Caenorhabditis elegans: one gene and its partner. The protein of the gene in region 2 purifies or fractionates together with the protein of the main gene of each other region. This does not show direct contact. Each region holds a gene or a part of one and is shown on either strand. Other genes may lie near its edges. The genes, in order: dnj-30 and Y62F5A.9.

Region 1 (6,135 bases), on a different chromosome or scaffold from region 2:
GCGCCCATTTCATCCCAATTTCCCATGACAAAACCGATGATCTTTATATTATTTTTTGTTTGTTTTTAATGCATTCAACCATCATTTCTTCTCTCTTTACTTTTGATTTACGGGTTTTTTCTACTTTTTCCGAAATTTTTTTTCTTCAAGGAAACTATAATAAAAAATTTTTCACAAAAAACTTGTTGAGATTTTACACAATAATGCAGAGGTGGGCGGCAAACGATTTTTTTCCGGCAAATCGGCAATTTGCCGGAATTCAAAATTTCCGGCAAATTGGCAATTTGCCCGAATTGATATTTCCGGCAAACCGGCAAATTGCACGAATTTAAATTTTTGGCAAATCGAAAAATTGCCGAAAATGAATATTTCCCGCAAATCGGCCAATTGCCGGAACTGAAGTTTTCGGCAAATCGGCATACTGGCAATTTCCCGATAAAAATTTGCCGAACGGCAATTCCACTCTTGTATTAATGATGGGAATACGTTTTACTTTTTACTTTTAAATTTGGTTTATCGTTTTTTTTTGAATTTTCAAATAAATTTGGAAAAAATTGAAAATATCCGGAAATTAAATTTAAACAAAAATTAAAACTTCAAAATTTCCAGTTTTCGTAATTTTTTGGAGGTTTTTAATGGTTTTTTTACAAAAAAAATTCGAATAAAATAATTTTTTACAAAAACTTGTTGAGATTTTACACAATAATGATGGGAATATAATGAATGAGAATAAATAGAAAAATTCAAAGAGATCAATAATTATTTCTGAAGTTTAACTTTCGGAGGTTTGAATGCTGCACCCTTCAACGTCTTTCCCTTATCCTCTTTTTTCGCCTTTTTCGCCTGGAAATTTCTCCAGCTTCCGGAACGTTCGTCACGAGATTCTTCGTAGTTTTTCGCGAATTCTTCGGCCAGTTTACGCTTCTCTGCTGCTTGGACTAACGCTTCAGTTGAGCGGCGTCTGAAAAATTTTTGTGATTTTCTTAAAGGCAATTTTTGAATGCAAAAAATTGTTTTCAAATGAGTTTTCAGAAAAATGTAATTTTTAATACAACATTTTTTAGAGCAAAATTCGAAACTTCCCAAGAAATTCTAGATTTTAGATATTTTAACCCGAAATTTTGAGGTTTTCCGCTTTGGAAAATGAGAATTACCAATTATTGTATTTTTCTTTTAAAAAAGTCGGATTTTTATCAATTTATCTTATTTTCTTCAAGGATTTTCAGGAAAACTTCAAAAAATATATGGTTTTGATATAAATAAACCTGAAAATTTTCAGAAATTTTTGGCAAATTCAATTTTTTTTAAATAATTTTTTTCTTAATATCTGTTCAATTTTTGCATTTTTTATTAAAAATTATTCAGTTTTTTGAAATAAATATCTGAAAAATCAATTGTATTTTATTTTTCTTAAAATTAAAAAAGTTTTCTTAAAAAAGAAACAGTAAAATTGCCAAATTTACTTTTTTTTTAATTTTTAAAAAATTGTTTTACATTTTTTACTTGATTTTAAGCAAAAAACCAAAAAAATTACAAAATTAATTTTTTTAAATTGGAATTTTTCTTCTTTTGTTTCTTCTGAAAACTCGGATTTTTGTGATTTTATCTCAATTTTTCTTTGTTATTTCCGATTTTTCTATTCCATTTTTTTTCAATTTTTTCAATTTTTTTCAATTTCTAATTAGAAATTGATCCTAATTCGGTTTTTCTCCAATTTACTATCAATTTCCCGTACTTTTCCTCATTCGCCCTCTCTTCAAGCATCTTTCTCTTCTTCTCTCGATCAGCAAACACTTTTGTTACAGTAATCCACAGAGCTTTCTTGTATCCAGCTGGATCATCTTCTTCAATCACATCTTCTTTTCCATCTTTTCGCAATTTTCGCTTTTTCTCCGACATCTGGAAGAAATTCGGTTTTTTTAAATGAATTTTTGAGAAAAAAAATATACAATTTTTGATTTTTGTTAACGATCTTGGAGGTAGGATTGCACAGTCTCCTCGGCGTCGAATTGGGCTGGGGCGCACTTGCTCACACCTTGGCGCAGCCGGGGGAGGGAGTGAATCTTTTTAGTGTTGAAAAATAAACTTCGTCGTTTTTTAGCGTTGAAACGAATTTTTTCGCAGATTTCGAACTTAAAATTTGTTTATTAGCACAAAATGAAATGAAAGACCATTAAAAGAGAAAATTTGGTCAAAAACTGAAGGAGGAGTAGGGATATTAAAAAATCAACGGTAAAAATGGTGTTTCTCTAAAGAAATCATATTTTTCTTGTATATTTCAAGTCACCCACCTTCGCGATCATCTTCTTCATCCTGAAGATAATTATCAAAAGAGGCGGGGCTGTAATTTTGGAATTCTAGCCTATTTTCCGCGTAATTTCTGAATTTCGGAAAATCCACAAAATGCGCTAGCAAAAACGCGAAACGCGCCAGTAAGCAGTTTTTTGTGCGCTTTCGATGACGAGGAGACTGTGGATTGTGGTTTTTTTTTGGTTTTTTTCAACAAAAAAATTGAAAAATGTATTTTTTAAAATTTTATATATATATATATATTCCCTCGAATTTCGTTCACTTTTCATAATTTTTGTATAAAATTACAATTTTTCTTCGAAGAAACATAATTTTTTGATTAAAATTTGCTTCAAAAATTTTTTTTTTTAATTTTTAGGATACAAACTAATTTTTTTCGTGGTCTTGGATTTTCGAGTGAATTTTAAAAAAACAATTTTTACAAAAAAACGAAAAATTTCCGAATTATATGAAATTTTTTGCGAAACTACGTTTTCTTCACAAAATAATCAAGAAAAAAACGATTTTTTTCCAAAAAAACGTTAAAAAAGTAAATTTTTGATAATTTACTTTTTTTCAATTTTTTGGAAAATTATTTTTAAAATAATACGCTTTTGGTTTATATCAGTAATTTTGTTTTTTTCTAGTTTTTTTTCCTCATTTTTTGAAGAAAAAAAATATAAAAAATAATTGTCTTCAGATTTGTTCAAAAAATATTTTGCGAAAATTGCAAATTTTTGGCTTTTTCTATTTTATTTTCACATCAACATAAATTAGAATTTTTTTTGTTCATTTTCTAAAAAAAAATTTTTTTGGATTTTTCGATTTTCAGTGAAAAACTACAAAATAATGAGAAAAATGGGATGAATTTTTGTGATTTTTCTTTCGTTTTTTTTGATTAAAAAATCGAAAAAAAAAATCCAAATTTCGGCATTTTTTTTTTCCAGAAAAATCCAATTTTTTAAAAAATTTTCTCAGAATTTCCATGCAAATCTTCATAGTTGCTCCGTACCACAATAGCAAGCCGAGCTTTTCCCTCCGTATAACAATCTTTGCATCGATTCAACTCAATCGGATCCTCCATTTGCTTAATCGCCTTCTTCACAATATCAAAAGCTTTGTCAGCACGTTCTCGATCATCTGGATTTTTATCCGGATGCACAAGTAGTGAGAGCTTCTTGTATTTCTTCTTAGCCGCCTCGATATCCGTGTCCAAATCGATTTGGAGCACTTCATATGGGTTAAGGTTCAAATATGTGGAACCGGGCTTCAAAAGTCGCTCGATTTGTTGCTCAGAAGTAAGAGCCGCGTCCTGTTGCTCCGTGGATTTTAGCTGGAAAAATTTAAAAATGTTTTTAAAATTTTTAATGGTTTTTTTCAACTTTTTCAAAAAAAAATTGGTTTTTTTTCAAATTTTTCTCTTGAATTTAAAAATTTTTGAGAATTATTTTTGAATTCCCGCGCATTTTCTGGCCATATTTTGTGGTTTTTCTTTGGATTTTTAAAAATTTCAGCCAAGTTTTCTTTAAAAAATAAAAATTTTATTTGGAATTCGCGATTTTGAAGCCAATTTCAAAGTTTTGGCGAAATTTTATTTTTTTTATAGTTTTATAATTGATAGCCAGCTGAAAAAACTCGCTAAAACTTCAAAATTGGCCCTAAAATCGATATTTCCACATAAAATTAATATTTTTTCGCGGAAAACTGTCTGAAAATTCGAAACATTCCAGAAAAACCAAGAAATGTACACTTTTTTCAAATTTTTTGAAAAAAAAAACTTACATCCTGATAAAATGACTCAAACTGGGACATTTTTTGCTGGAAAAAATTTTTTTTTTAAAATTAGATTTTAGGAAAAATATTAAGGAAAAAAATATATAGACAATAGCGACATTCAACGCAAAAAAATCGAAAATCTGAAGAAAAAATAAGGGAAAAAAAACCAAATTTATTAAATTTGAAAAATGTCGACTAGAAATAATCTCAAAAGGGTCATGGATTGAGTACATAAAAACTAATTGCATATTATTTAAACGCGGAAAAATCCGTATTTTAAAACCAAGTTGCAAACGCGCTCCTCTGCTAAAAGTTGGGTCTCGTTAGAAATGGCGGCCAAATCTAAATATTTTTAACAATTTTCGATGATTTTCACCTCGAAACCAACGAAAAATCATTGAAAACTTTTGAAATTACGGTTTTCTCGCCAATACTTAAAGGTGGACTACGCTCAGTGGGGAAATTGCTTTAAAACATGCCCATGGGGCCACAATGACAGAATATCATGATAAAAAAATTCAAAAAAATTTTCTAGATTTTATGATTTTTTGAAAATTGAAAAAATCACAGTTTTCAACCAATTATTTTTGAATTGAAAATGATTAAAACTCTGATATTCTGAGTTCCGACGACAACAAGCCTGAAATTAGTATATTCACAGTTTTACTCATTTTCAATTACTTTTTAACAAACATTTTGCGTTTGTCTTTTTTATTTCTTTCATTTTCCGAGGAAAAAACATAGAAAATGAAGAAAATCAGTCAAATAACGAGAATAAATAAAATTAATTAATAAAAATAATGCAAGCGCGCTCAATCGAACGAATCCGATTGGTGGAAATTCAAAAATAATTAGGTGAAAACTGTTATTTTTCCAATTTTCAAAAAATTATATAAAATCTAGAAAATTTTTTTGAATTTTTATATCATGATATTCGGTCATTGTGGCCCCATAGGCGTGTTTTAAAGCAATTTCTCCACTGAGCGTAGTCCACCTTTAAGGAGACCCAACTATTATCCGTGGAGCGCGCTTGCACCACGATTTCAAAAAAGCACATTTTTCTGCGTTTACATAATAACAATATTTCACATCTCAAATTGCAATCTATCTACATGTGGTTGAATCTCATCAATTGTTGGCTGAAGCCTGAACTGGAGCACCGAGCAAATTGGAAGCTCATAAGCCAAAAGATCGGATTTCGGCTCGCGGAGCTGATCTTCGGCCTGTTCGATGTACGATTTGATCGTAGACTTCTTGTAATCATTCATTTTAAGGGCGACGAGGAGAGCGGCTCCGGCGACACATTTTCGATTGACTTTTGAGATTAGACCCTGGAAAAAAATTGATTTTAGATTTAAATAGATATGAAAATCTCAAAAAAATTGAAATTTAAAAAAAAACCAGCTTTGATAATAATTATAAACTGATTTTAGCTTAAAATCGACTATAAAATATTTTAAAATTTTTAAAATTGCCTACAGTAACCTTAAAGGCGCATACCCTAATTGCTTTACAAATTTCGCGGCGAGACCCATCCTCCTCCAAATGTGGCCTCCCTGTAACCATTTTCAGATTTTTTCTTGAATTTTCCGACAGTTTCTCAAAGTTTAAGCTTTTAAATAATTTTTTAGACGTAATTTATGCTATTTTCTATTTTTCGTTGCATTATGTCGATAATAAACTAAAATTAAAGTTTTTTGGCCTAAAATTCGCTCTAAAAATTTAGATTTTCTCTGGAAAAAAAGATTTTCGATTTAAATCGATTAGAAACTGTTTTAAAAACTTAAAATTGTCTACAGTAACCTTAAAGGCGCATAGCTTAATTGCTCAACGAGATTCGCGGCGAGACCCATCCTCCTCCAAATGTGGCCTCCCTTTAACCATTTTCAGATTTTTTCTTGAATTTTCCGACAGTTTCTCAAAGTTTAAGCTTTTAAATCATTTTTTAGACGTAATTTATGCTATTTTCTATTTTTTGTTGCATTATGTCGATTATAAACTAAGATTAAAGCTTTTTGGGCTAAAAGTCGCTCTAAAAATTTAGATTTTCAATGGAAAAAAAAGATTTTC
Region 2 (6,373 bases):
GCAGAACGAAAAGGGGATCTGCAAAAAGGGGATCTGCGAAAAGGGGAGATACGAAAAGGGGAGATACGAAAAGGGGAGCAACGAAAAGGGGATCTGGCACTGTGCCAAACGCTATTTTTCTCAAAGAAAACAATACAACGATGCTCCGATGTTACGCGTCGCGTGTTGTTAAGCGTATCTTCTAGAAGAAAATTTCAAAAATCAACGTGCGTTGCGTGAGAAAAATTGCGTTTTGTGCGTTTGGCACAGTGCCAGCTCCCCTTTTCGTTGCTCCCCTTTTCGTATCTCCCCTTTTCGTATCTCCCCTTTTCGCAGATCCCCTTTTTGCAGATCCCCTTTTCGTTCTGCTCCCCTCGTGGGGCCTCAAATAATATTGTCAATGGAGCGCAGTTGCGCACACCGAAATACGCACGAAATTTGAAATTGGCAGGCCTAGAAAGTCTGGATTTAAAATATTTATGCATATTAACCTGAGTTTCGGCATGTTTAGATAAATTTAGATTAAAATTTATTAAATAAAAATATTTAAAATTTATTAAATTCAACATTATCTTTAATTTTACAGAAATAAAAACCAAAAAACCAACGAAGTGTAACTTTTCGACAATAAATATTTATAAATTATTCAATTAATTGGAAATCTATTTATCACATCTCATCGTGAACAAGCACATGGCTAAACAATGCCTCGACTTTATCCACCCATCCTGGATTTTTCCTGTTGAAAATCTTCAAATCCTTCATAGTCTGCTCAATTGCCTTAACAGCCTTTTCCCTTTTCACATCCTTCGTCAATTCCTCAACCATCGCCTCTACAAGTTGTGATCGTGAGGCCCCTTCAACGAATTTCTTGTCCAATACATCTCTGAGCTGAAAAATAAGTCCCTTTATTCATGTGCACCACCTGCCACTCATTCATTTTAGATCCTAATCCTGTATTTCTCTCTCTCTCTCACTAATCGTCCCGTCATATCTGACCCACTATAATGAGGGGACCACCACTTTGCCCCAGATTTCGTAATGAGCCAACATACACTAGGCCCTGTTCTAGCACCCCCATTGTGCATGGGAGACACATCGTCTGTTGGTTCGGGTCAGCTGAGATGACGTGGCAGATGACGTCATGTTTGTTCTCTAGCAGATCCCTATCGTAAAATACCGTTCTTTGTTCGTTTATGAGCACTTCTTGGGAAACAAGAAGAATATTAGAGAATATTGGATTTTAGGAAATTTCTTGACCCTAATAATATGTATCTCATGGGGCTAATTACGAAAGATTTAGAGCTCACTAAAGCAGATGTGGATAAGCTGGAACTATAGTCAATTCTCACGAGATATTATTATTAGCTTACTCGTTGAATTTGATGCCGTGTTAGGTAGAAGCCGAGAACACGATGAACCTTGGAAGTTATGTAGTCGAGTTTTCTGGAAGAAAAAGTATATATAGTTTGATAAAAAGTTACGTCATAAGTTATTGGTCCCGAGTGTGTACACTAGAAACTTGCGCAATCAGTTGGTCAGGTGGTCTAGGACCTTTACATGTAATATAATTCATTGGTTTGTTGCTCTAGATCTCAAAGAATATGGTTTTCCTGCTGAGAAACAAAATTTTTTTTTCAAATGTTCGCGATATTATACGATTTTTTTGCGCTGAAAAATACGGTATCCGGACTCGACACGACAGTTTTTCAATAAATTCGGAAAGGTACATATGCGCCTTTGAAGAGTACTGTAATTTTAAACATTTGTTGATGCAGTAAATATTCTCACGGATTTTTAGAGGTTTTTTTTTGAATATTTATACAGTTATATTAGAGTTAAAAAAATAAATCTATTTTTATCGAAATTTATGAAAAATCTACTCCCCAGAAACAAAGTTTGAATTTACTTAAAATGTATGTGCGCCTTTTTAAATTCAACAAAAATTTATCAAATTTTGTCTTTTTAATCACTTTTACTTTTTTTTCGAAAAAAAAAAAAACTTTAAAAACACCGAAAATTAAAATTTTTAATTACCGTAATCCTTTAAAGGCGCACACCTCTTTTTCGCAATCATAAAAATTTACAGGCACAGAATTTCCTACTGTAACGTGTTTTCTCGATAGAAACGTTTCTCCAAATCGAAATTTTTATTAGCAATCATCAATTCGTCATGTTTCTGTGCTGGAGCACATTGTTATGCAGTGCTCATGAATATTCACAGTTGAAAATCGAATTTTTTTTTCTTATTTTTATTAACTTCTCTCCTCACTCAAGTGCAATCTCATTTCGGCGGAACGATGAAAGCGGACTCGTTTGAAACGGATTACACTGCTGGCTGGCTCCATCTTTTTTATTTCTGGTTTTTTTCCCGACACGGGAGGTCATCCGTCCACGTCTTCAATCTTATTCGCTTCTCCTTCTATCTATCTCTCTTCCAAAAAAATGGAACAGATTGTCCGCCTTCTACTTTCCGCATGCGCCTATTCTAGACATCGAGAAGAAGCGAGAGAATCCGAAAAACTCCGCCGTCCGGCGCCTAGCGTTCATCCCGTCGCATCCAATTTCCTTCACCCCTGTCTCCAGTCTCTAATCTGTGTTTCCCAGACCTTCTCCTTCTTCTTCTCCCCTCTTTCTTCCCTTTCTTTTCTACGATTCCTAGACCTGCCCGGTTGACCATCGGGCCCACCATTTATCGAGCGCGTCCGTCTGTTCGTTGCTGTGAGCGCGCGCGCGCGAGCGCACACTGCACACCATTTGACCGCAACGAGCCGAGAGAGTGTGTGAAATGAAGAGACGCCGAGTGGACACGTTGCTCTACACCAAACGCGCTACACCAAATGGGCGGAGACCCAATGGTGCACCAAGTCAGCAGTATAAAAGGAATGGAAATGGTCCATTCAGTCATCAGTTGTTTTTTTATTTTCTCTTTTCTCCCATCACTTTCTCCCTTCTTCCCCTCTCCTAATTTCCATTCCCAACTATTATTCTCGGATCAGATCGAGCCATTGCTGGTTTCTTCCACAGTGGTACTTTCCATTAGAACTATCACCGGGTGGAAACTAGCAGTGGCTCGATCTTTTCCACTTGCTCCACCGCTGTCGGGGAACCGCGCCAATTTTCGCTTCAGTGCTAGACCATCCAAAGTGTCTATCACCGGGTGAAAATTCGCATGGGTCCCCGACGCGGAAAGATAAAATATCTTAAAATCGATTCTAGAAACCCTTGGACCAGTGTGGGTGTCCGTTGCGGTGCTACATTCTCTAATCTGTATCACCGGGTGAACACTTGCAGTGGTCCTCGTGGTTTCTCTGTGAGCCAGGTCCTGTTCCGGTTTTTTCCGTGGTGATAACGCATCCAAAAGTCTCTATCACCGGGAGAAAAACTGGAGTAGGACCTGTGACTCATTCCGATTTCTGGAGTTTTCCCCTACATTCTACCATTCAGCTACTGATTATTGAATTCCTGATATACCGAGAGCCCAGCTGATTTCGTCTTGGTAATAAGCTCGTCATTGAGATTATCACCGGGTGTAAATCAGCTTGGCTCTGGTGTCTCCGAACCTCCTGTCCGCACCTCAGTGGATGTATGCCATGATGATAAGATATCAGAAATCCTATCACCGGGTGTACATCAGCTAAGGTGCGGGTACAGGTGCATTTGATATCAAGGTGAGTTATTTTTAAGTGGGTCCCAGAGACCTTGGTGGTTTTTCTCTGCAGTGATAGATACTTCTAACAACTCGCTATCACCGGGTGAAAAATCACCTAGGTCTGGAGCCTCCTGCTCTTTTTTTGCTGTTTTTAAACTTAAACTTAAAACTAACACTTTATCAAAATAAAGTCTTCCAAAATCTTTTTTCTGATCTGCCGGAAGACTTTCCATGAATTTGTCCAAAACTCGTTGCACTTTATCCTCGTCGTAATCATTTGACACCATATCTTTGGATAACTAGAATAATTGAACATTGGTTTAAAAAAATTCTCTCAAAAAAAAAATCACAAACCTGATGAATTTTAGCCTCATCTATAGCAGTATCTGCGAGAAGAATCGTAAGATTCATTGATAATTCTATATATTTTCCAATAATTTTATCCGAAGCTGGATGTGAAGTTTCTACAGTACCTCCGTGGCATAATACTACAATGGAAGCAAAAAGAGCGACAATTAGGATCGTCATTTTAGTGGAGAATGATGAATTGACCCGGCTCTTTGGGGGTTGGAGGATTCATTTTCCCCTTCAACAGGTGCTCAAATAATTAAAGAGAATAGAACCGACGATATATGGGTCAAATGTTTATACAGTTGTGCTACTAAACGTATTGTTACACGCGTTATTAATAATTAGAATTAGAATTATATCGTTTTGTACGGATTGAGAATCCCATTTGGGTCGAAAATGTTCTTGAGCTTCTTTGTCAAAAGTCGTTCTTCAGGATCTTTTCCGAATGTGGAGTACGGTAGCTTCAGTTGACCGATTCCATGTTCAGCTGAAATTGACCCGCCGTGATCGACAACCCATTCGTAGAGGAAGGGATAGAGCCTGGAATTTGAAATTATTAATAGAATTAAAATTTTATAAAAAAGAAAAATCTCGAAACTTACAATTTTTCAAGTTCTTCATTGTGTTTTTCAGATGTAATATTTAAATGAGTGTTTCCATCTCCCAAATGTCCATAAGTGACAATTCTTTTAGCCAAAGAACCACATCGTTCCTTCATCACATTCGTCAATTCATAATAATTTTCCAATGGTAAAGAAACATCATGCTTATAGACATATCCATCTCTGGTAACCGCCAATGGTGCACTTTCTCTCAATTGCCACATCTTCGTAGCTTCTGCAGAAGATCCAGCGAGCACTCCGTCGATAATCAGATTTTTTGAGAGGCATTCATCCAAAAATGCGCTCATTTTCTCCATATCGTGATCTTCATTGGATCCTGATGTTTCGACAAGGATCGAGAATGGGGTTGGAGCATTCAGTACTGGGTGCAATCCTAGATTCGTTTTCAAACATTCCATCGTAGCATCGTCGAGAAGTTCGAAGGAGGAAAGGATTTCAGTGAGGCTGGATTTTGCAAGCTTCAGTACTTCGCAGCATTTTTTGAAGGATTCGATGCCTGAAAAAAATTAGAAATTGAAAAATTTGAACCCATTATATAAATATTCAACCTACCAAGCATCGCACTTTGTACACTTTTCGGTTTAGGAACCGCAGTCATTGTGACGCTTGTGATAACACCCAACTGCCCTTCACTTCCCAAGAATAGGTGTGGAGTGTGCAAAGTTGTGTTGTCCTTCCGAATGCTTGATCCCAAATGTAGAACAGTTCCATGTTCATCGGGAAGAACCACCGTGAGCCCGAGAAGATGTGCGTGAAGACTTCCGTATCGAATCAACCGAATCCCTCCTGCACACGTGGCAATATTTCCTCCAATCTGACAGGATCCTTTGGCTCCGAGATCAAAAGGCATCATATATCCGAGTTTTGCAAGTTTGTTGTCCAAGTCTTCCAGAATAAAACCAGAATCACACTTGAGAATTCCCATTGTGTCGTCGAAAGAGAATTGCTTGTTGATTTTATTCATTGATATAACAACTTCATCATGTACTGGAATTGATCCACCAACGAGTCCTGTATTCCCTCCTTGTGGGACTACTGCCAATTTGTTCTTGGAGCAATACGCCAATATTGCAGAAACCTCTTCGGTGCTCTTCGGGTAGAGGACGACACTGCCAGGACCTGGAAATTAAAACATTTAATATTTAAAGTACCTATTTAATATTAAATAAACCTAATCTTAAAATACAAATACCTTTAAATTGGCCTGTCCAATCTGTAGTATGATTTGTAATATCGTCCTTCTTCACTGCATCTTGCCCGAGAAAATTCTCAAATGCCATTAAATCCGACTGCATCACTTTTGCAAATCCTTCATGTCTGGCGGCAAGAACTGCTGCGTAGCTTCTAGTTGGTCTTCTGATTCGTGGCAAGATTTTCAGAAACATCTGAATTCAGAAACTTTTCAAAAAATAACTTGAAACTTCAAAAGAAATAGTAGGAGACAAAGCTCGGCTAGGTGACCGATTTGCCGAAAACAATAAGAAAACAAACGGCTGGGCAGTGATAAGAAAAAGAGACAGAAGAGATACAAATGATCATAGTTCATTTTATGTACTGTTAACAGAAGTGTGTAATTAAAATCATTCGTAATCCTCCAAAACTCCGTCCATATGCTCGTTTTGTACTTTTTGATTGAACCGTCTCTTCGCGGCTTTTCTTTTCAGTGGAGCCTGCATTCGAACCTTCGGCGTCAGATCCTTCATCGCGTCGAGACCCTTCTTCTGGAGATATTCTTCGATTTTCTTCTCATCCAAATGATCCACAGACA

Evidence for each region.
Region 1: the proteins of Y62F5A.9 (region 2) and dnj-30 fractionate together in Caenorhabditis elegans (co-fractionation; one large-scale study listed by BioGRID). This does not show direct contact.

Annotation. Positions count from the first base shown.
Region 1 is NC_003279.8:2,717,369-2,723,503, forward strand, and holds dnj-30 (J domain-containing protein), read right to left. Parts: upstream 4,108-6,135; 5' UTR 4,102-4,107; coding exon 4,072-4,101; intron 3,623-4,071; coding exon 3,302-3,622; intron 1,900-3,301; coding exon 1,736-1,899; intron 962-1,735; coding exon 760-961; 3' UTR 659-759; downstream 1-658. Other genes in the region: Y71F9B.6 (Cyclin N-terminal domain-containing protein), read right to left, coding at 5,151-5,396.
Region 2 is NC_003280.10:11,534,641-11,541,013, forward strand, and holds Y62F5A.9 (uncharacterized protein), read right to left. Parts: upstream 4,202-6,373; 5' UTR 4,160-4,201; coding exon 3,986-4,159; intron 3,931-3,985; coding exon 3,806-3,930; intron 3,765-3,805; exon of another isoform or gene 3,668-3,764; intron 3,636-3,667; exon of another isoform or gene 3,544-3,635; intron 3,536-3,543; exon of another isoform or gene 3,293-3,535; intron 3,291-3,292; exon of another isoform or gene 3,073-3,290; intron 3,065-3,072; exon of another isoform or gene 2,887-3,064; intron 1,426-2,886; coding exon 1,353-1,425; intron 871-1,352; coding exon 649-870; 3' UTR 501-648; downstream 1-500. Other genes in the region: dhgd-1 (D-2-hydroxyglutarate dehydrogenase, mitochondrial), read right to left, coding at 4,336-4,522, 4,585-5,101, 5,158-5,724, 5,798-5,990; gtf-2E2 (Transcription initiation factor IIE subunit beta), read right to left, coding at 6,186-6,373.